Drosophila melanogaster: one gene and its partners. Changing the gene in region 2 together with the main gene of any one other region gives a genetic interaction. Each region holds a gene or a part of one and is shown on either strand. Other genes may lie near its edges.

Region 1 (5,169 bases), on a different chromosome or scaffold from region 2:
ATCAGCATTAGCCGATTTCTTGGAATCCCCTTGAAAGCATTGTACAGAATGGGAATAGGATAGATTCCAGAAATTCCAGAACAAATAATCCCCAAGTTTTTCGTGTAAGTGGAGGTCGTATATTGCCATCGGTTTTTGGTTTTCGGCTTTTGGGCCCTCAGGCACGTACTGCCCTATGGATCGACCGTTTAATGCTGTTTGCCCCGATGCAGCTGAATCAATTTTACCACGGCTGCATAGCCATGGGCACAAGGGACTCAAGAGCCTCGAAAATAATTTCGTGATAGATTCGTTTTTTTTTTCGGTTGCTGATTTCATTCCACGTTCCCGGGGGGGTATCAACATAGGCATAAATATATGTATGTCCGGAAGACAATAGCTGTATAGATAATTTGAATCGGATAATTATTTTAGGAGTTATGGCTGAGTGACGGCTATCTGATAGTCGAGGCAATCGAAGCGAACTCTATCTATATAGTATTCATACATATGTATGTATACGTACCATCACAATACCCGTAATTTAATTTTCGTGCCGTCTGTAACACTTTCTATTGCTGATAATGACTTTTGGAGCATTTTGCGGGCGTTTTGGAACTTGCACAAAAAACATTTTGTAATTCATGTCTGCGCAAAAACAAATAAAAGAACGAGTCCACGGAAAAATTTACTAAATACACACATAAATATGGCCATTTTTCTCAGTGTGCATGTCAACAATTTCCCAGTCACTTGAGTGCTTGGCCACCCTTCCAGCTCTTTATTTTTTGGACAGTCGGTTAAATGCAATTAACTTGGTTACACTTTCATGCGGGAATAAAATTTTGGTACCGAAATTCGTTCATGGTTTGCTTTTAGTTTTCCATTTTAAGCCGCAATATATTTTGCGTCCAGCGGAAGTGATCACTTTGCCACATTGGCGCTGATAGTCACCGCGTGACTTCATCGGCATTATCATCATCATGTCCATTACCAGCGAACTCATGGAACTCACCTCTGTAAACATAATCGTGAACTCACTTGTTTGGCAAATGTTTGAGAGCGAACCCCGATAAGACACCTAATGCGCCTCGAATTGGTGTAGTTCGATTGTTTTGGTTGCATGATGACACTAAGGTCAGTTGTCATCCATTGTGGTCACGTCGTGAAATTGGTTTTTGCAATAACTAGTAAGGCGCTTGACCAGATTGAGAAATGTGCACGTGTCTATTGTTGTTCAAGAAGTGATTAAAAATGCTTTTAATATTTATCAGTTCGCTTTTAGGGAAACTATACCTACTCGTCAGTCAATGGCATGAGCCCAAACATATTCATGCTGAATCCATTTGGACGCGTAATAGCTACTTCGAAAAGCATTAGACTAAATACCTCCCGATTTGGTCATTTAAGATCTCAAGAGCCAGCTCTGTATCTGCAGAATGGCTAGATTTCCCACATCCGCAGAGTCAGAAGGTCAGCATCGGGCGTGAGACCGGAAAAACCGCTAGGATAAGCCCACGAAAACGAGACATCCTGATACCCAGGAAATAATGAAGCAGGATAATAAGGAGTACCAGAAACGAGATACTGTGGGTTTCGAATCTGTTATCCAAATTTTCTGGGCTGTATACATTTCGCTGGCTTCCTTTCAATTTAATTTGCATTAAGAAACAAGTTTCGCAGCGCAAAGTAATAATGGGTTATTCGATGGGCATTATAAAACACACATAAACGTTAAATAAAAATACATACAATCCACTTACTTTTGCTGTTTTATATCCCAAAACAAAGATGCCGAAGAAGGTGCGCTGCTTTTGCTTTTAGTTGCTTCTTCTTTGTCTTTTCCCCACTTTTGTTTTTCTTTGATTGTGGGTTAATATCAAGTTGTTGTAAAAATAAATTAGCATACAAATAAATAATAAACACCACAAATTGGCTCGTTTTGAATTTCGATTTGATGGCGGTTGAGCTTAATTTTTTGTTTGGTTTATTAAGAATTTTATATGTATGTGTTGATTGGCTTGCTGGTAAGAGCCAGTTCAAACTTGTAAGATACTAAATTTTTTTCAGTTGCTTAAAGTTTTCCCGTCGCTGGCTGCCTTTCATTTTTCGCTGCAGTTGTTAGGCTCATTAGGACAACACGGTTTTGTATTCGATTTTGTTGATTTATCTATTTTATTTCTCCAACTGTATCACATGTATTATCATATAATTCACAAAGACTTTTGCGCACACGAAAAAAAAACACACTACAACAAATCGACTTCAAAAGGTATCAATGGTAACATCCTGTTTGGGAAAAACGAAAGAGAATTATTTTGTATGCAACATTGAGTGCAATTCAAAAATAATGCCTACATGTGCACCGAAAATAGCTTAAGATTGTGAAATATTGTAGATATTTAATATATATCATTGTGAAATAACGTTAACTAAATATTTATAACTCAAAGCTAAGCTTCAAATTATGGTTGGTACTAGTATTTTAAAGTTGATCTCGGGTTTTTCAGTAGGCGAATCTATATGTACGGCGCACATATATTTTTAAGATTATAAATTATCGGACGCCTGTTGCTGTAAAGACAACAACAAGTACAACGACAACTGTTTCACAATGTAGTATAAACACAAAAGCGTAGTATATTTATACATGCCTCGTAGTATGTATTTTATTTTATTCTACTTTATTTTCACTTCGTTCGTTCTCTCTTTCCTGTTTCCTTTTACAGATAAGCATTCGAATGTTTTTTTGTTTTGTTTTAGTTTAGGTTCTTGTTCAAATTCAAATTAAAATCGGGTCAAATTTAGATAAAATAAAAGCACACGAAGAAACGTTTTTAAGGGACACAATCAGAAGATATTTATGTATATTACAAATTTATATTCCCATGTTACTATTTGCTTTTAAGTTATATGCGCCACGTTTTGACCGATTGCACATGTCTCTTAAATATCGAATTTATGTTACAAATTCAATCGAAATGATAGTGTTACTTTACTTTTTTCATTTGCTACTATTGTTGGTGATTTTTATCCGCTTTCTTCCCCCCTCATTTCTTTTAAGTTTTTTTTTTTGAAGAGACTGTAGCGGGCGGACAAGAGAACACGCACCGTTACCGATCACGTTCACAGTTGTTTTTTGAATGAGAAGCGGCTTCGAAACGTGTCGTCGCAGGCGTCGACGTCGGCGCCGCAGTCGCTGCGACAGACAGAGAGTGGTCAGATATAAATATACATGTACTGTATATATGTATATGTACGCGCGTTCGACAATGATCTTAGCCGAGAGAAAAGAGCCGATGCGCGGCATTAGGGAACTCTTTTCAAAGAGCGCGCTGAAGCCGCGCTCAGTTTTCATTGCTCTTAAGTTGCAACTGCACAAAGAAATCATTTTGCTGTTTTGATCGTGCATTGTTTTGAGTATGTATGTCATTAATTTAAAACAAGAGAGAACGCTATAGTCGAGTTCCCCGACTATCAGATACCCGTTATTCAGCAAGTCCAAGTGGGACGAGACTTTTCAACATTTTTCACGAACATTAGTAGAAATTGGTGGGAAAAAATTAATTTTAATTCTCTAAGGTCTGGGCAGGATATATTGGGCGGTTTAAGATAGCATATCTTCGGCATATCTATAAATTGGAAAAACAACTGGTTTAATACAAAAAAATTAAATCATTTCTCAAAAGTGTGGGAGTGTCAGTTTTGGTGCATTAGAGTGGGAATTTTTATCATATCGATAAAAATTAACAAGAGTCATAGAAATATGGAAAACTATCAAAACATTATGCAAAGGTGTGAGCGTGGCAGTTTTGGGAGGTTTGTGGGCGTGGCATCATGGGGAACAAACTTTCGCTGCGTCTAATGTCTCTAGAATCTAGCTTTTATATTTTCTGATATCTCGACGTTCATACGGACGGACAGACAGACGGACATGACCAGTTCGACTGGTCCTGATTGATCCTGATCACGATACATATATACACATGTACATATACAAGTACATGTACATATACATATACATATATGGTTGAAAACGCTTCCTTCTCCCTGTTACATTCTTTTTAACGAATCTAGTATACCCTTTTACTCTTCTCGACAATTCTCTTTTCTTTTTTGTTTTTCCCATACATGATTAACATTTTCTTCTGTTATGTTCTCTTGTTCTCAATTAGGGAGATGCTCTCTTTTGGCCGCCTGCAAAGGATGATTAATGATGTTCTCTGCTTTTAATTTTTTCTGAATGCTGCTAGTTGTTCAATTTAAAAAGGCAGTACGGCTCTTCCTGGTAATTTTCCGTTGGCTGTTTGTTTCTATTTACATATGTACTATGTATGTATGTATGTACCTTATTAAATAAAATTTTTATTTTCAATTTTGTCCGAGTTCGGTAGACCCCTACAGACACTACTAACATTCGGAAATATGTAAGGCTAACTGGAGTGGCCGGCTTAATAAAAATATCTCGGAAAAGCTGGAAAGTCGGAGATGGATTTCCTCGAAACCTAATTGAAGTTGATAGCAGTCATGGTTTTGTTCCCCGTCATCATCATTGGGCACTGAATCGCAAATCGCACTTCTTGGTAATTTTAGCCGCCACTTGAGCCTGTGCCGGTGTTTAGGCCAACATAATGGCCAATTAAGGCCACTTTGTCGTTTACAGCGTTTCAATTTCGATTTGATTAAGGTGAATTCCCTTTATTTTTTATGCAGTGATTCCGGCTAAAATTCATGAATAAAAGCAATTTTATGTAGATGATATAGATCATTACTTTAAAAAATAAATTTACAGAGTTAGCTTAGGGAACTAAAAATGACCACAACTAAACTAAGGGTATTTTGCCAAGTGTACGAATTGGGATCATCCCCATTTCCCTATTCTCTCATTCTTCGCCGTCTTCCCTTCGTATGGACTTATCGATGCGATGGTCAAGTGTGCGGGGCTCGTCTTCGGTCATTCGCCCAAAAACTAAAAATCGAAGAAACAAAAGTTAAACAAATAAGAAAAAATACCGAAATGTGTTTTCGTACTTTTCCTTCTTCTTGCGCAGATGCTGCGTTGTTGTGAAGCAAAAGTGATTTAAGTGAAATCAATTAAAAAATTTCGTTTTCTCTCGATTGTTTGCCTTCGCTGCTGCTTCTTCCCTTCCTTTTTCAGACCCCACCCCCTTTCGCTGACCTTTTCGAGTG
Region 2 (4,990 bases):
CATATGTACATATGTATGTCCCAGTATACAGTGTGTACCACCTTCGGACCCGTTCATATACCGGAATATAATAAAAGCTCATTTCCCGCCTGGTGAATTCATCATTATGATGAGTTATTTCCATAACAGCCGGGCGGGCAGGCAAGACCTCCAAAAATCAAATGTTTACATTAACTTTTTTGACTGATTGGCCCATGTCAATAGCATGTCTCTCCGTTTGATCCAAGTGAATTCTCTTTCTGTCTAAATTTAGCTGCCTAATTTTGAGGAAATCTTGCTGCAGCCCGTTGACGGGCTGGCATAAAACCTGTTAAGGCCCACAAATCAGACGACAACACCAGTGGTGGTGAGCTGTTAATAGATTTAAATCATTTTGCATAGGTATATTATACAATTCGTGGTTAAGACACCACCACCAAATGCACACACAAGCATGCTTAGAAAGTCACTGGTTTCGCCAATCTATTTGGGCTAAAACTTCCCTAGGTGGCAATAAAAGAAATAAATGGTAAAATGTGAAAACTGGCCGCTCCCTAAGTTGGTGAGCGTATATATGTATTAAGTCATCCGTTTGGCAGTCGAAACCGCACAAAAACAACCCCAAGCTTGGGGGAACTATTGGTATAAACAATCAGCAAACACAGTGCGTTTCAGAACTGTGAGACGGCGCAAAGTTTCACCTCGTCAATTGGCTATTTTCAAACAACGTTTGCTGACTAATCACGGGTCAAATGAATTAGTAATTGCTTACAAAAGTTGATCGGTGATCTAATGCACAGTTAAATCATCTGTAACTGGCTTAAGAACTATTTAAAATGTAGTAAAATACCTATTATTTTAATATAATTTCGAGGATTCTTAAAGGCTGCTACACTATTTAGGCAACGATCTTACATAAGTTGCTAGTTCTTAAGGGTAGCCCTAATATGTTAATATAAGCACTTAGGTCAAGAATGTGTGAAAGCTTCTTTTATGAGTAAAAATTCTTCCGATTTGATATAATAAGAGCTTTAACTTTTTGTGTGACTAATATCTTCTTCTTCTTCGAGATTTCATTAAAATTATTCAATTCCCACAACCAGTTGACACTGCCTTTGAAATTTGCATTAAACCTGCCTCTATGATGTATATTTGGTATATTTATTAGTATGTGTATAATCGACTGTTGCTTGCGAATAAGAACGAAAATAACAATTATTAAGTCTGTCGAGGACAAAAGATAAATTCTTATCGCAATGCGAGCAATTTAACCAGTGGGAAAGTGGAAAGTGGGGAAATTGTAGCGCATGGAGACAGTGGAGCAGTTGAACTCACCGTTTTTTGATTGATGGGTCATCCATAGGGTTTCCTGCGATGGCTTTTGCTGGCTGCTGTGCGGGTGCGAAGATGCAAATTCAAAGGCATGCGTAAGCCACTCGAAGTCGGAGGATCCCGTGGAGTATTGTTCGCATTGGTGTGGGGCCAGTCACCAGAAGTGGTTGCGGAATGCTTTCGGCAGCTATTTTTAAATTAGCTAGTAAAAACGGGCCGAAATGAATCCAGAAGTGATTTAATTGCCTCGATTTTCGTTGCTTTAGTTCTGTTTTATGATTTTTTGGTTGCACTATTCCAATGGGTTTTGATATGTGTATATATATTTTGCACTGCTACTTTTCACTTAAACCTGTGGGCACACAAAATTCGTTTGAAGACATTTCGGGCATTAATGCATGTACATTAAAATATTTGTTTGCATTTTTTTTTTTTTTTTTTGAGTGGGTGGTGAAGGGTTATGGGGGATGGGGCGGATCGGAGAGGGTTCAAATGCAGGCAGCAATCTCCTTGCAATTTCATTGTTTTTATTCCAACACAGATAACTGAACAGCACACCCACACACTCACGCGCAAGCCATACATATTCCAATGCCTATGGCTCTCTCGCCGCGCTCGTTCTCTCTCACTCTCTCTCGTAATCTCTTGCTTTCTCTGTCACTCGCAGGCAGCAGTTGTTGCTGGTTTTATTGTTGTGCTTTTTGCTGACTAGTTTTCACGAAACATTTAATGGATGACGACTTGGGGTTGGGGGAAAACAAGTTTTTGGCCGAAAAATTGAAATACTAATGCTATACTAATGGGTCAGAGCGGACACACAAGCAGGAAAATTCCAGCGATCCTTTCCAGATTTGCGTATTTTCCATTAGAACAGCTGATTGTTCAATTAATCGCTTGTGTTCAATTAGCGTGACGAAAACCCAAAAAGAAAAACAAAGACTCCCTCTCTTTCTTTGAATTTGCACTGATCTCACTGTTTGTTTACCTAAATAAATCAATTCTTGCAGTTTCACTCCTTTTTAATTAAACGCAAATATTTAATTGAATAAATATGTATACACACAAACTGGACTGACTGACTGACTGAGTGTGTGTGGGGGTGCGAGTGCGATCATCGCCGCAAACGCAAAGGCAAAACAATATGGCTGCCGCAAGCCACTTGTTAGAGAAAAACAAGGGATTCGAAGCCTCGGAAAGCGTCCAGTTGTTTATCATTTACTCATTAATTCGATCGCTTCCCGCTCCGTCAAGCCGCACATCCCTAAAATCGAATTAAAGCCATGTACTGCAGTTCAAGAGTTCAGCACTCGACGCACTCACACACGCGCGTCGCTCACTAACACTCACTGCCACCGATGGGCGAGTGTGGAAAATAAATACACATATGCCGTCATACATTCGATGCCCCTATAAGCGCGCTGCGTCTGTCTGCGTGCGATGGGTTAGAGATCATTTTTAGACAAATTTGCGTACAATATTTCCTGGCAGTTGCAAGCTCGCGATTTTGCCATTGACGAGCGTGCACAAATGCACTTAAATATGTATGAATTTTACGCCAGTGTGTGGGTGCGCGGAATGCATGTAGTCACTTTTTTTATTTATTGCTTTTGTTGCTGCAGTGAGCTCACGCGTAGCGAGTTGCGCATCATTCTTTCTCTGCTTCGCCACTTTCGCCACGCACTTACTTAAAACGCACTCGTATTGTATTCCATAAAGACACGAAAAATGTTTTTATTTTTTTCACTTATCGCGCCATCAACACGCACACGACGTTCTTTTCTTTTCAGCTTGAAAATTGGAATGAAATGACGAGAAAGAGCGCATATCTGCCAGTGTTGAAAAGGGCTTTAGTTCGGTACGGAATTCAGTACCTAAAACTGGTACAAACAAGGTACCTTGCCGATGATACAAGTTAGCTATTGGTTTTTATTCATTGTTTTAAATGCTTCTTAATATATTTCGTACGTGTGTTCATTAAGGCAATGTGTGTAAATCTTAGCTTATAAAAATTATAGCCCAAACTTGACTTGAACTTTTTAATAAAACCAAAATGCAAACATTGAGGCCAAAGCCTTTTTATTAATTTAAGTCAGCTTAGAAGTAGACGAGCCACAATCCAGATACGTACCTATTTATTGGACCGCAACACTGATATCCATACACGAACTTAGCAGCACTGTCCCGGGACCAATGCTTTTGCAACACTTGATCTGGCGTGCCTGGCAGAAATCAAAACAAACGCACAGCACAACCACCCACACAGACATGCATGCATACATACATACGGACAGCACAAAGAGCAGACAACAAAACCGCGTTCTGTGTTTTTCGTGAAATGTCGTTTATTTGGTGGCGGTTACTCGCGTTGACAAACAAAGGCAGGGCAACGCACCCACCGCCCTCTGAGATATCATACTTGGTTAGCTGCATACATTCGCAAATGTAAGCGCCAACAACTAATGTTTGCCTAGGACAAATCCGGACCCAGGAGGTAGAAGAGCAAAACCATCAGGTAGTAGAGCAGTAATCCTATAAATGCCATGTTGTAGTTTGGACTTTCCTGTTTCGTGCGCCGCCTAGGGACGCACTTCTGGCGTCATGAACTGGCCTCCTCCAGAATTGGTGTCGCCCTCGCCACTCCGCCGTTCTTCTCCAGAACCAGGTTGCCAACTACATCAGCACCCTCGCTATCCGAATCCTGCATAAGTGGGCTGTCGAGAATTCGAAGATTTTTTAAGTCTTCATACTGATTGGCAATATCCAACGTAACTGGGTCAGGTGGAGGTTGAAGTCTGCTTAACTCCAGCAACTGCAGATGGTAGTAGACACCCTCGTCATCTATGGCATAAAAGTGGGAGAAGTGGGCGTCTGTGAAGAACTGACGAGCTTCATTTCCCACAAATTTAACGCAGGCCAGGAGTTCCGGACGGATGGCATTGCCGCGCTTATTCCGCCACAGTTCCGCAGTCCCTCGGTTCACCGGATGAAACTCGTCGGCAACGAATGTCACATCTACATCGATGTCCGCTGCAATGGGCGCCGCATCCACAGCATCCTCTTGTGTAACACTGTGCTGCTTATGGCGTCGACTGCGCCGCCGTTTTTGCTCGCGCTCCAATTGATTGTTGCGCATGTGCGTCACATTCCAGAAGCACAGCTGCTCCGCGCAGCTGATCAGGAGCAACTTACATGGCGAGAATAGCAATTGCCGGATGCAGTGCTCGTGGACCTCTTCAATGCTGTAGATCAGTTGAACTTTTCTGTTTTCAACGGCAAAGAGCTGTTGGGAAATGTATAATTAGCAGGAAATAATTATGAAACGAATTTGTAAGACGTATGTATACCTCTAAAGTGCCATTTTCGAAACCCATAGCCAACATGGTACCATCATCCGTGGCTACCAAATAGCTGATCTTGGCCTTCTGGGCGATCTCTTCTTCGCAAATCTGTTCGTACCTTAGTTGGTTACAGCTGAATATTAAACGGAATACCTGTCGTTGGAAATAATTGATAATTGTTTAATGATATTATGTTTAGCAAACCCACATCGATGATGTTGTTTTCGTAGGCCAGAAAGAGAAGACTGTTCTTTAGATCAAAGCCGACAATGTATTCCTCCGAATCCTTTGGTTTCACGAATGCAGATGGGTTAGCTATATCCAGATGCTGTTGGTAAATA
Region 3 (5,011 bases), on a different chromosome or scaffold from region 2:
CATAACTATTTTACCTTATAATAAAAATACCTTAGTTTAAAAATTGACTTGTAACAACTGGGATTATATTATTATAAATCTACTGAAAACACTCAAATTTGGTCGGAATAACTGCCGAGTTGGCATCACAACTGCGAATTTAGAGTGTGAAATATGGCAAAGGTAACCGCACTCACCTGTTGTCGACTCCTTGGTTAGTGTCAGTCGTCCATTGTGGTCGGTTAGCAGCAGCAGTAGGATCTCAATCAATTGAATCACAAAGAGGCGACGATTGTAAAACAAACACATTGCAATCCGACTTTTTTGTTGTCACCGCTTTCCGGCTGGGGCTCCTTTTTTAGGCCCAACCGCGATTGTAATTATAACTATATAGATTTTTTTTTATCTTTTTGCGATTATTGGAACGTTAGCGAGCTCTTCACGCTCTTCCAGTCAATACGATTAGCAAGAGCATTTTCTCATTTCTCTGTTCACCGCGATGTTTGGCTTCGGAAATAAATGAAAATCGGGGGAGAAATCAAATCACCGAATTTTATTCACTAATCTAATGCACACACCCATGCACACAAACACACACACACGCCCACGCACACAAAAGTATGCTAATACATTTGGGCACAGGCATAAATATTTTACGCGTGCAACAGTGCGTATACTCAATTTGTTAAATAGTCCGCACAAACATGCCGCCAACACGATGGCCCGGCGCCAATGTCATCAGTTTGTCACCGCTCAAATCGGAAAATTGATGAGGTGGTGGGGCATTAACCCGTGGCTTGGGGTGGAAAACAATCCCAAGGGACAGTGAAAATACATACCAAGATTGGAAAAAGCCATATTCAAAATTAACAAATTTTCATTTCTTGTTCATCTTTTGTTCGCGTCGCTTTTTTATCAAATTAAAAGAAGCTCTGTATGAGAAACTAAAAGTTTCAAGTTATTATTAATATTACTGATTTACTTGATTACACTTTTAAAGCATAAAGTTTTGAGAAAGTTTTTCCAAAAGCCAACCGAAGTTTTTTCCCCTTGGTTTCTATTGTTTTACGAACTGCAATTATTTCCGTTCTAAACTTTTTTTGTTCGCCAGTTAGATATTATATTCTGTTATTACACCAAGAACTATAAGTTCTTAGCAATGAGTATAGAATTGCATTGAAAATTACCTTTTTTAACATAGATATTTCTGCTGCTATCAGTTAGCATAATAATATCAGCATTAACAAAGGTATCCTTCATCCTGCGTTTTTCCCCTCTATCCTTTCTTTTTACTTCCTCTGACATCCTTTTATCGGCCCTAAATTTGTACTGGCTTTTTGTGTGTGCTCGGATTTAAGCTGCGATAAATTCGCAGATTCTACGGCTCAGATTCTTCATCTGCCATTACGCACGCATCTCCATAATAATGATAGTAGTCATAATAATAATAATAATGATGATGATGGCGGTGATGATGCCACATAAAAGGCGGCGGAGCCCATTTCAATTTCAATTCGACAAAAGGCGCGTGTATCTGCAAGATACATTTCTATCTCAAGAGCGCAAAATTGCGCGGCAAACCAAAGCTCGCAAAAAGCAAAAAATCGCATATATGAATGCTAAAATATATTTCTGGCTTACTATTATATTGTTGATGCCTTTGCTGTTCGAACTATGAAAGGCTTTGCAAAAAGTAACGCACATCGCAGACAAACTTTTATCCGTACGACAATTGAAAAAAAACAATTCGATAAATCAAAAGAAAAATGAAAAAAAACGCTTGTGCGAATTTGAGCTACGGTTTTTTGTTTTGAATACACAGAAAGTAATTGGATTGCGTTTAAATTTGTAATAGCATTTAGATTTCTAATTGAATTTTATTAAAAATTCGTTTGTTTTATTAACCAAGCAAGCAAATTAAACGAATAAAATAAAAAATGCTTCTGGTTGAAAAAATATTGGAAATACTAGCTTATTTCTTCTGTGCATTGTGGCGTTCATTTGTTTACAGCCCTGCGATATAAAACTTTGTCTCGTTTACATCTTTTTCGAAATATATTGTATAATATTCGGTTTTGGTTTAAGATAAAACCCAAAACTGGAAGATGAGCAAAAAGCCGGCTGAGCAAAGGAAATCACATTGGGGTAGTTGTTGTTATATAAAACAAATTGTACGCGAATTTTTGCACAAAAACACACAGATACACGACACACACACACAAAGAGCCGCAAAATCCGGCGCTCAGGAAAACAGAGAGCGAAAGAGCGGATGAAGAGGACGAAGGGGAGGAAGATGAGGAAACAAACGAATTTCAGCAACGACGCAAATTTCGATTTCCTCGAAATTTCTACCTTCTATTATGCTCGTTCCTCTCCCGACTGCTGCTTCTTCTTGCGCTTCTTGTTTGGGCATCATATACTTTTTTGTTTGCAAAAATAAAAAATAAGGAGAAGAAAACAGTGAAGAAGAAGCAACAGCAGCGGCGGCAGCAGCAGCGCAGCTTACTAAGCTTTTGAGATGCCGCCGTTTTGCTCCTTGTTTTTTGTTTTTGCTACGCTCTTGCTGCTTTGCCTTTGCTTTTTCGGGTATTTTGCCTTTGGGTTTTTTTGCTTTTTTGCGTTTTTGCCTTTTGCGTGAACAAGAAGCAGCAGCAACTACTGTACTTGGAGTTTTTCCTTTGCTACATACATTCGTATATCCTTTTTGCCGCTTTGTTTGTTTGGAATTTCTCAATTTTCAAATACTGATGCCACCCACACGCACACACACAAACGTACACGCACTCCCACTCGCACACATACACGCACTTTACGCTTTTTTGTGCTTTGCTGCGTCTCCAGTTTCTTGTTATTTCGCCCTTTGTTGTATTATGTCATAATTTATTTGTCGCCCAGGACTAAACAATGCCGGAATTTTGCACAATTGATAAAGCCAATGAATCACATTTCGTTTTCATTAGCCCCCACTCGTGCTGTCTTGCTCTTTCTGGCTGCACCGGCTCCTCTCTTTTACTTTTTACTTTTTACTTTTCTGCTACCTTTGTTGTCTTTTTTGCATTTCCGCTTTACGTTTGTGTTTCGCTCGCACTCACGCACTCAAACACACGCAAACACAGACGCACACATAGCTGCAATTACTGTTGTTGCCCAGCTTGTTTAACTTTTGTTTGTTGTTTGAAACACACACAAGCACGCAGCGTCGTCGAAAATATCGCGAATTTACAAGCGCCGGCAAAAATTTACTAGAGAAATCCGCCCGCAATTACACAGAGCGACGCAGCAAACACGTCCAAACTGTTCGCCGAGCTTTGGCGCACTGCTTAACTTATGCTTATGAATGGAACGGCGGCGACAAGCAGCCCGTTCGGCGAAAGAACGAGAAAGCGATAGTGATACTCCCCCAATTTCTCTTTCTCCTCGGCGCTATGTTAACCGATTCGGGAAAGGCGCCGATTTGAATGTAATACGATTGCGATCAGATGGAAAATTCGCATCTGTTTTAAAACGTAAAAGATAAAAACTACCAGCTTCTACTTCTTCTTTACGATGTTGTCTTGCATTGCAAAAATCGAACTCCACAGCTTTAATCATTTAGGCTTCACTTAAACTTAGCACTAAAAATAATGCTCAATATCTTCTTAAACACCAAATAGACATGAAGGAATATCAAATACACATTCCTATGACAAAAAAAAATGTTAAACAATTTCAGCTCTTTTTAACATCAAGATACAAAGAACAAAACCTTTGGGTTTAAATCGGTTAACATTGCTTAACATTAAGCGGTTGTAAGAGAGCAGCAACTTAAGAGAATTTGTACACTCTTTTATCTTGCTCAATTTGAGCTTTGAAGAGAGCCGGCAACTTTTGTTTTTGTTTGCGACGCCAAAATTTCAATGTCGACGTCGCAGTCGGCAGCGTAAGCTTTTCGAGCAGCGAAAAACAAACAAAACGGAATGCGAGTAAAGCAAAAAAGAGACACAAAAAAAATGCAGTTTGTTGAATCTAGTACTAAGATTTAAATTTATTACAGACAAACGTAACTTTTATTTTGCACTAGAAAAATATTACATATTATATTATTATCTTGTGTTATATTATATTATAATTACTTACCGAACACCAAGTACTTTACAGTATTCAAGTTATTTTCCTTTTTTAACGTAATTAATGAAAATATTCATTATCTTTTAATCTTAATTTAAAATATTAACTTAAACTTCATCTCAAATAGGAAGGCGCCGATTAAAAATCGGAAATAGAGATGGCAAATAAAACGAATGGTTGTTGTCTTTACTAAAGGTGAGTTGCGCAGTTGCTAGTAGTGTGACCAGACGGCGATTCACAAAATTTCTCCAAAGTGTGAACGTATGCGAAGATACTTCGTTGATGGAAGAGGAGTGTCACCTTTTTCTTGGTTTTTCCAGAGCGTCATACTGCAAAGAGTTGTTGTTGCGCGCGGGCGGACGACGAGAAAAAATTGTAAACGCGGATGAAAACAACGGTTGATTTTCACCCAACGCTCGTGATTTTCGACCGCTTTTGAGTGTGGAAGCGAAAAAACCGCCTGTTTTTTAACTGCATGAGTGCGTGCGAGTGTGTGTGTGTGCGTGCGTGTACGTGTTCGTAATTTAGACGTGCTGCTCGCTGCGATTTTCGTTGTTCTGTGTGGCCCCTGTAACTACAGTAAATACTCGTGCAAATAACGCGTCAAAGCGTGCGAAAAACGCAGGGAGAACGCCAGCTAGCGCCTTCTCTTTCACTTTTTCGCTGATTCCTCGCCGCCTTAGACTAGCATTTTGTTGTTGCGCAGCCTGCGCGTATATGTGTGCGTTCGTCCGTGTGTGTGCGCTTGTCCTGCGTGTGCGTGTGTGTGTAAATTCCAAAACATACGCCGCTGCACAGTGGCACAAAAACGAGAGAAACGTAACGTAACGAAATAGCTATTTGGATTCCCGGCTTTCGGGCTTTCCCTGTGTGCGTGTGTCCGTTTGGGTGTGTCGCATTAATGTTAATTTTCCGCTGAAGTTTT
Region 4 (5,138 bases), on a different chromosome or scaffold from region 2:
TTTGAATTTGTATAACAATGTTCGATCGACAAAATAAAAGGCTACGTCTTTTTAGTCTTCAATCAATGCAAGAAGTTTACTTCAAGTATATCAGAAAGTTCTTTATCCGCAGATTTTATTTGTCGAAATGGAATAGAAAACAAGACACAATATATATTGAAGCAAGGCAGCTCCACCATTTCACCAAAAAGGGAATGATTTAAATCTAAAGATTAACCTTACCAAGTCCGCATGACTAAATTTCAATGAACTATGCTGTCGCACATGAGCAGTGTGTATAGATATAAAATGTTTATTTCTGCAAGGCAAGCAACCACTTAGCACATGGATTGTTAATGAAACTATGCACCTTCTAAGGGCAGAATACCAAACTGATACTGATAGTTTAGCAATAGAAGGAAAGCCATTAACAATGTGAAGGCTCGGTAAAAGTATAAATTGGCTAGTTAATTACGCCAAATGTAGCTGTTGTCCACATTGTTCTTCGCACATGCATATTACTAATATGAGCAGCATCCTGATAAATCTACCACTTTTTTACATTGCCAAGAGGAGCTATTCTATTCCCCTGTTTACAGACCGCATAAAAAATGTTTCTAGCATTCGAAGAACGCATGTTTCGTAGACTTTTACAAATTGTGGTTGGTTTTATTTTCTCATCTCTCTCGTGCAAACAAAAAGCGCTTACAATAGAAGTCTAAAAATGCGTTTTTTAGAATTCGAAGGGGCGCCGTGTGATTACTTGGAAATAACAATGGGCCCGGTCTGCTTGGCGGCATCGCGCTGCTTGAACACGATCTGGTTAGCAATACGGTCCAGATCACGCTGTCCAATGGAGCTCAGTTTGCGACCACCGTCCGGGTGCTTCTCGACCAAACGGGCGTGCTCCAAGGCCTGCAGAGCCTTGCGGGCAGCACCGTCGGCGGCGCGGCAGAAGTGCGAGGGGTGGACACCGTTGCGCTTGCGTCCGCCGTAGATCTTGGTGATCGAACCGACTCCAGCGGGACTGCGGTGGTACAGATGGCGCAGGATCGAGGCGCAACGCACATAGAACCAGTCGGGATCGTAGGGCGCCAGCTCCTTGAATTTGGCGGTCTTGACGATGTCCATCTGGTCGGGCACCTTCAACTTGCCAGTCCTATTTGGTTTTTTTCGTGTTTTTTTTTTTTTTTTTGGGGGGGGATAAACAAATGGATTGTGAGGTTATGTGGTGGAAATATACTTGATGTTCAGTACTCACTTCTTCAAGAAGACGGCGACCGCCTTGGTAACCGCGTGCTGGTCAATATCCTTCACTGTGACGCCTGGCATCTGCGGGCAGAACGGGAAAAACAAATGGGGAATCTATTACAATGCTGCCAAAAACACGTTGTCGCGATTTCCACGATTCTCTCACAGACACACTCTTTCTCTCTCTCTCTCTCCCTCGCACACACACATGCACGGGCACAACAAAAAATTGCCAGCCGAAGTTTTAACCCGAAAAAAGCTGTCCTTTCGTGTTTACGGCCGGCCCATTGTGTCATTTGCCACTTGGCGTGGGCTCTTTCATTGAATTTCACCCATTCAAAACATAAAAAAAAAGATAATTCACTTGAAAAGAATTCGTGCACAACCTTTCTCGTTAAAGTCAACCGGAAAAAAGAACAAGGCGCGTGAAGTTGGCTGCGGTTAATAGTGCTGGGCCTGCCACCAGCAATAGTATCGATTAATCGAATGCCGGCGCGGCGAACTATCGAAGATTCGGTTAATGATACTCTAACACGTATGTGTTCAATTTATAGTTATTTTTAAAAATATTTAAATTAATGAGCACACCAAGATTATATTATATATTACTTGGCATTTGAAGACCTTGTCTAAACATGCATTTTCGTATTAGTATATTTTCAATGTGGGCAAAGAATGCGTAGTACAATTCATATTTTGCTGTATCACTTTATTCATAAATAACTGCTTTTTATTTTGTTAGCAACCGATTTACATAACTATTCATGAAGCTAGTTTCTGAGTCTATCGAATAACAAGCGGCCCATCGATGACGCAGACAACCGATATTGCCGCAGCACCATCGCCATTTGGAGCGCCACCTGTTGGCCCTGGTATATTCTGGTATTTTCATCGGCGCCTAGTGACTTCGATACTTCAACTTCGATATGTAAACACAATTGCCATCTCTACCAGCACCGAGCCGAAATAAAATAAGTGCAACGCGCAGCGTCTAATTGAAACCAAATTGATCTATTTGGCCGCGGCCGAAACTGGACATTCGCAATTTGGGCGGTCAGCCGCCCCCGTCCCGTCCCGCCCCCCCGTGCGTTTCCCCCGCTGCCGACGGACAGTACGTCGGTGTGACGCACATCGGTGTGTGCGCGCGTGTGTGTGTGTCTGTGAAGCGCCTTGTTATTGTTGTTGTAGCGCTTGCTACGTTCGCCGTTCGCAGTGCACTGGTGTGCGTGCGCTCGTGTAAGTGTGTGTGCACAGAGGTATCGTTGGAATTAACAAAAAAATAGAAGAAGGAAAAAGCTACTTGATTGGGGCACACAAAAACCAACAACTCAAAAGGCCGAGAAACAAAAGCCCACCTTCAACACCACCAATCCGCCGCATTCGACACATTTTGGCCAGGTTTTTGGCCACAAGTGTTGACACAACTGTTGCATGCCAAGCGGACTGCGGACAATAATCCCCGTTCCCTTGTTTACCCAACAATCCATCGTGGTCAACGTGATCATCCTGGTCATTACGATCCCATTTGCACAGGAAGTAAACTAGATTGATAGCATTTTCCGGGAATCGATAGCACACCTGCCTGCCGTGTGGGAAACGCACCTGGGAACGCCCGGGTGCTCGGCTGCGTCCGCATGTGGCGTTGGCGGCACTCCACCAAAAGAAGCCAGCGCCAAGTGCCCAATCCCCATACCCATACCCATTCCCATTCCCATCCCCATCCGTATTCGATTGGCGTTCAGTGGCAGCAGTTAGCCAGAAATCCAACGAAACACTCGTGACCTCATCGCCAGCAAACAGCAAACAACTAGCGCTTGACGCGTGCCTCCTCTCCTCATTACTATTAGCATTCCCAGCATAGACAGACGTCCAACAACTCCTGGCAGGTAAATGTACAATATAAATATGTGTACCCCGAAGAGAACTCTGTTAAACCCTTGCTTCGCTTTCAGTTGCAGCACAGGAGCAGCAGTTGACCAACAGGAAGCAGCAGCTGGAGCAGCAGTATCAGCTTGTTATCTTGCATTTGCATGCCAGCTGGACGAGAAACTGTGACCAAGCAGCGCAGCATGGATGTGGAACGAAGGCGCCGGTGAGTGCACGAGATGGCGGCCCAAAAGCGACTGCTCCACTCAATTAATTGTCACCTGAATGGCAGCATCAGCAGCAGCAGCAGCAGCAATAGCAATAGTAGAAGTCGAAGTAGAAGTAGAAGTGGCAGTAGCCATCGCACAGATACGTGCGATTTGTACAGACAGATTTGTGATTTGTTCAACTGACCAAGCCAAGCAGGCAGCTAAGCAGCTAACCAGCTAACCACCTAACCAGCCAACTAGCCAGCTAGCACAATTCAGCGCAAGCCAAACGGGCCTGGCCAAAACAAATCAAAAAGTAATACACCGCTGGCAAACACCTTCCATATCTCATGTTCAAAGCGACAGCGCGGCAATCAAATTGACAAGCGAGTGAACAAAACGGGGGGCGACTTTATAATAAATTTGCCATTTTCGCATTAAAATTTGTAACCAAACCAAAAAGAAAAAAAACCAAAACGAAAACGAAAAGCGAACTAAAACGAACGCACAGTGGCTGATGCCGCCGTTTGTCAGTTGCAGGCGTCGCGTTGCATCGGCTGCATCGTTTGCATCGTTTTGGGCCAAAAAGGTAGAATAGATAGCCAGCACCACGCCGGTTTCTTCCATTGGACAGTAGACGGTATAGGGCATGGGGACATGGCTAATGCCCGCCGCCCTCCATTCGTGCGAGCCGGAACGGTACGTTGTTCTCATCTCCACGCTCCTAGCATTCAGCATTCAGCATCCAGCTCTCAGCTACCAGTTGTCGTCCTGGTTCGCTTGCATTCCAAATTCCGAGAATACAATTTGCCCAGCAATTCCGCAGCGTCGAGTATGCATATAAATACTTAAATTTAATTACCCATCCCCACTCGGTATCTGCTGTAAGCAGTCATAAGCGAAGCAAACGTTAAGGCATTTGCGTACTAACAATGGCCAATTGCAATGCGCATTTGGTTATAAAAGCCGAACAGTTCCTTTGTGCTGCCTGGGCAAATAATTAATTAGAATTAATAAGGTGTGAAGAGATTCTGCAACGCAGATGCAGTACCACTCTCTATCTCTGTGTGTTGAATGTGAAGCGTTCAATTTGTAAAAACTGGCAGATCGAATTTGGCGACGTTGTATAAATTAAGTTGAAAATTATATTGTCTATAGGTGACGATAATGTTGTCGTCGTCGTCGTCATCGTCGTCGTTGGTTATTATGTATTATTATTGCCGTTGTTGTTGTCAATAATGTTGCTCATAATTATGTTGTTGTTGCCATTTTGCCGCTTTGGCCAAATCGAAATCAACAGCGGCAACGAAAATTCATCGCAGCATTTTTGAAAATTCCACTTTCCCAAGTTGTTTGCTTTTGTGTATGGTGTGTGTGTGTGCTGCTATTACCCGCTGCTTGAGCGTTTTGTTTTTGGCTTTTCTGTCATGCCGTAAGTGGCGATGATGAAATCACAACAATTCAAACACCTTTTAGTATCAATTTTTAGCGCCGACTGTCATCGCAGTTTGCCTGCTCCTGCATCTGAGTCTGACTTTTGCTTGCTGGGCACCGAAATTCGATTCCCAATCGCTGACAGACTGACTCCGCATCTCCGACATCTTGCATCTTGCTAATTGCACATAAATCTTGGTTACGGGAATTAGTTTTTGACCGGAAAATGCCTTTAAATTTAGAAATTCAGAACCAACGCACTGGCAGGCCAAATTTAATTGTTTCATTCTTTGCCGAATATGTAGTTTAATTTGCCGAGAAATTCCATTTGAAAGAGCGCTTTTCCCATGCTCTAGTAACCTCGTATGCAAATACCTAATTGTTATAATTAATTTTCTA

Evidence for each region.
Region 1: of RhoGEF2 (region 2) and fog, changing one suppresses a phenotype caused by changing the other (phenotypic suppression), as found in Drosophila melanogaster (one study listed by BioGRID).
Region 3: of RhoGEF2 (region 2) and plum, changing one suppresses a phenotype caused by changing the other (phenotypic suppression), as found in Drosophila melanogaster (one study listed by BioGRID).
Region 4: of RhoGEF2 (region 2) and Rok, changing one suppresses a phenotype caused by changing the other (phenotypic suppression), as found in Drosophila melanogaster (one study listed by BioGRID).

Annotation. Positions count from the first base shown.
Region 1 is NC_004354.4:22,852,065-22,857,233, forward strand, and holds the start of fog (folded gastrulation), read right to left. Parts: upstream 3,131-5,169; 5' UTR 2,979-3,130; exon of another isoform or gene 1,743-2,978; intron 1-1,742. UniProt on the Drosophila melanogaster protein: Coordinates cell shape changes during formation of the ventral furrow and invagination of the posterior midgut primordium, by inducing apical constriction of cells in spatially and temporally defined manners.
Region 2 is NT_033778.4:17,025,346-17,030,335, reverse strand, and holds the start of RhoGEF2 (Rho guanine nucleotide exchange factor 2), read right to left. Parts: upstream 3,147-4,990; 5' UTR 2,997-3,146; intron 1,664-2,996; 5' UTR 1,341-1,663; coding exon 1,315-1,340; intron 1-1,314. Other genes in the region: Dark (Death-associated APAF1-related killer), read right to left, coding at 3,908-4,591, 4,656-4,802, 4,858-4,977.
Region 3 is NT_033777.3:26,531,937-26,536,947, forward strand, and holds the start of plum (plum), read right to left. Parts: upstream 3,282-5,011; 5' UTR 2,788-3,281; intron 487-2,787; 5' UTR 289-486; coding exon 177-288; intron 1-176.
Region 4 is NC_004354.4:16,634,406-16,639,543, reverse strand, and holds the start of Rok (Rho kinase), read left to right. Parts: upstream 1-2,129; 5' UTR 2,130-3,116; intron 3,117-3,182; 5' UTR 3,183-3,260; coding exon 3,261-3,322; intron 3,323-3,876; exon of another isoform or gene 3,877-3,969; coding exon of another isoform or gene 3,970-4,004; intron 4,005-5,138. Other genes in the region: RpS19a (ribosomal protein S19a), read right to left, coding at 739-1,138, 1,241-1,311.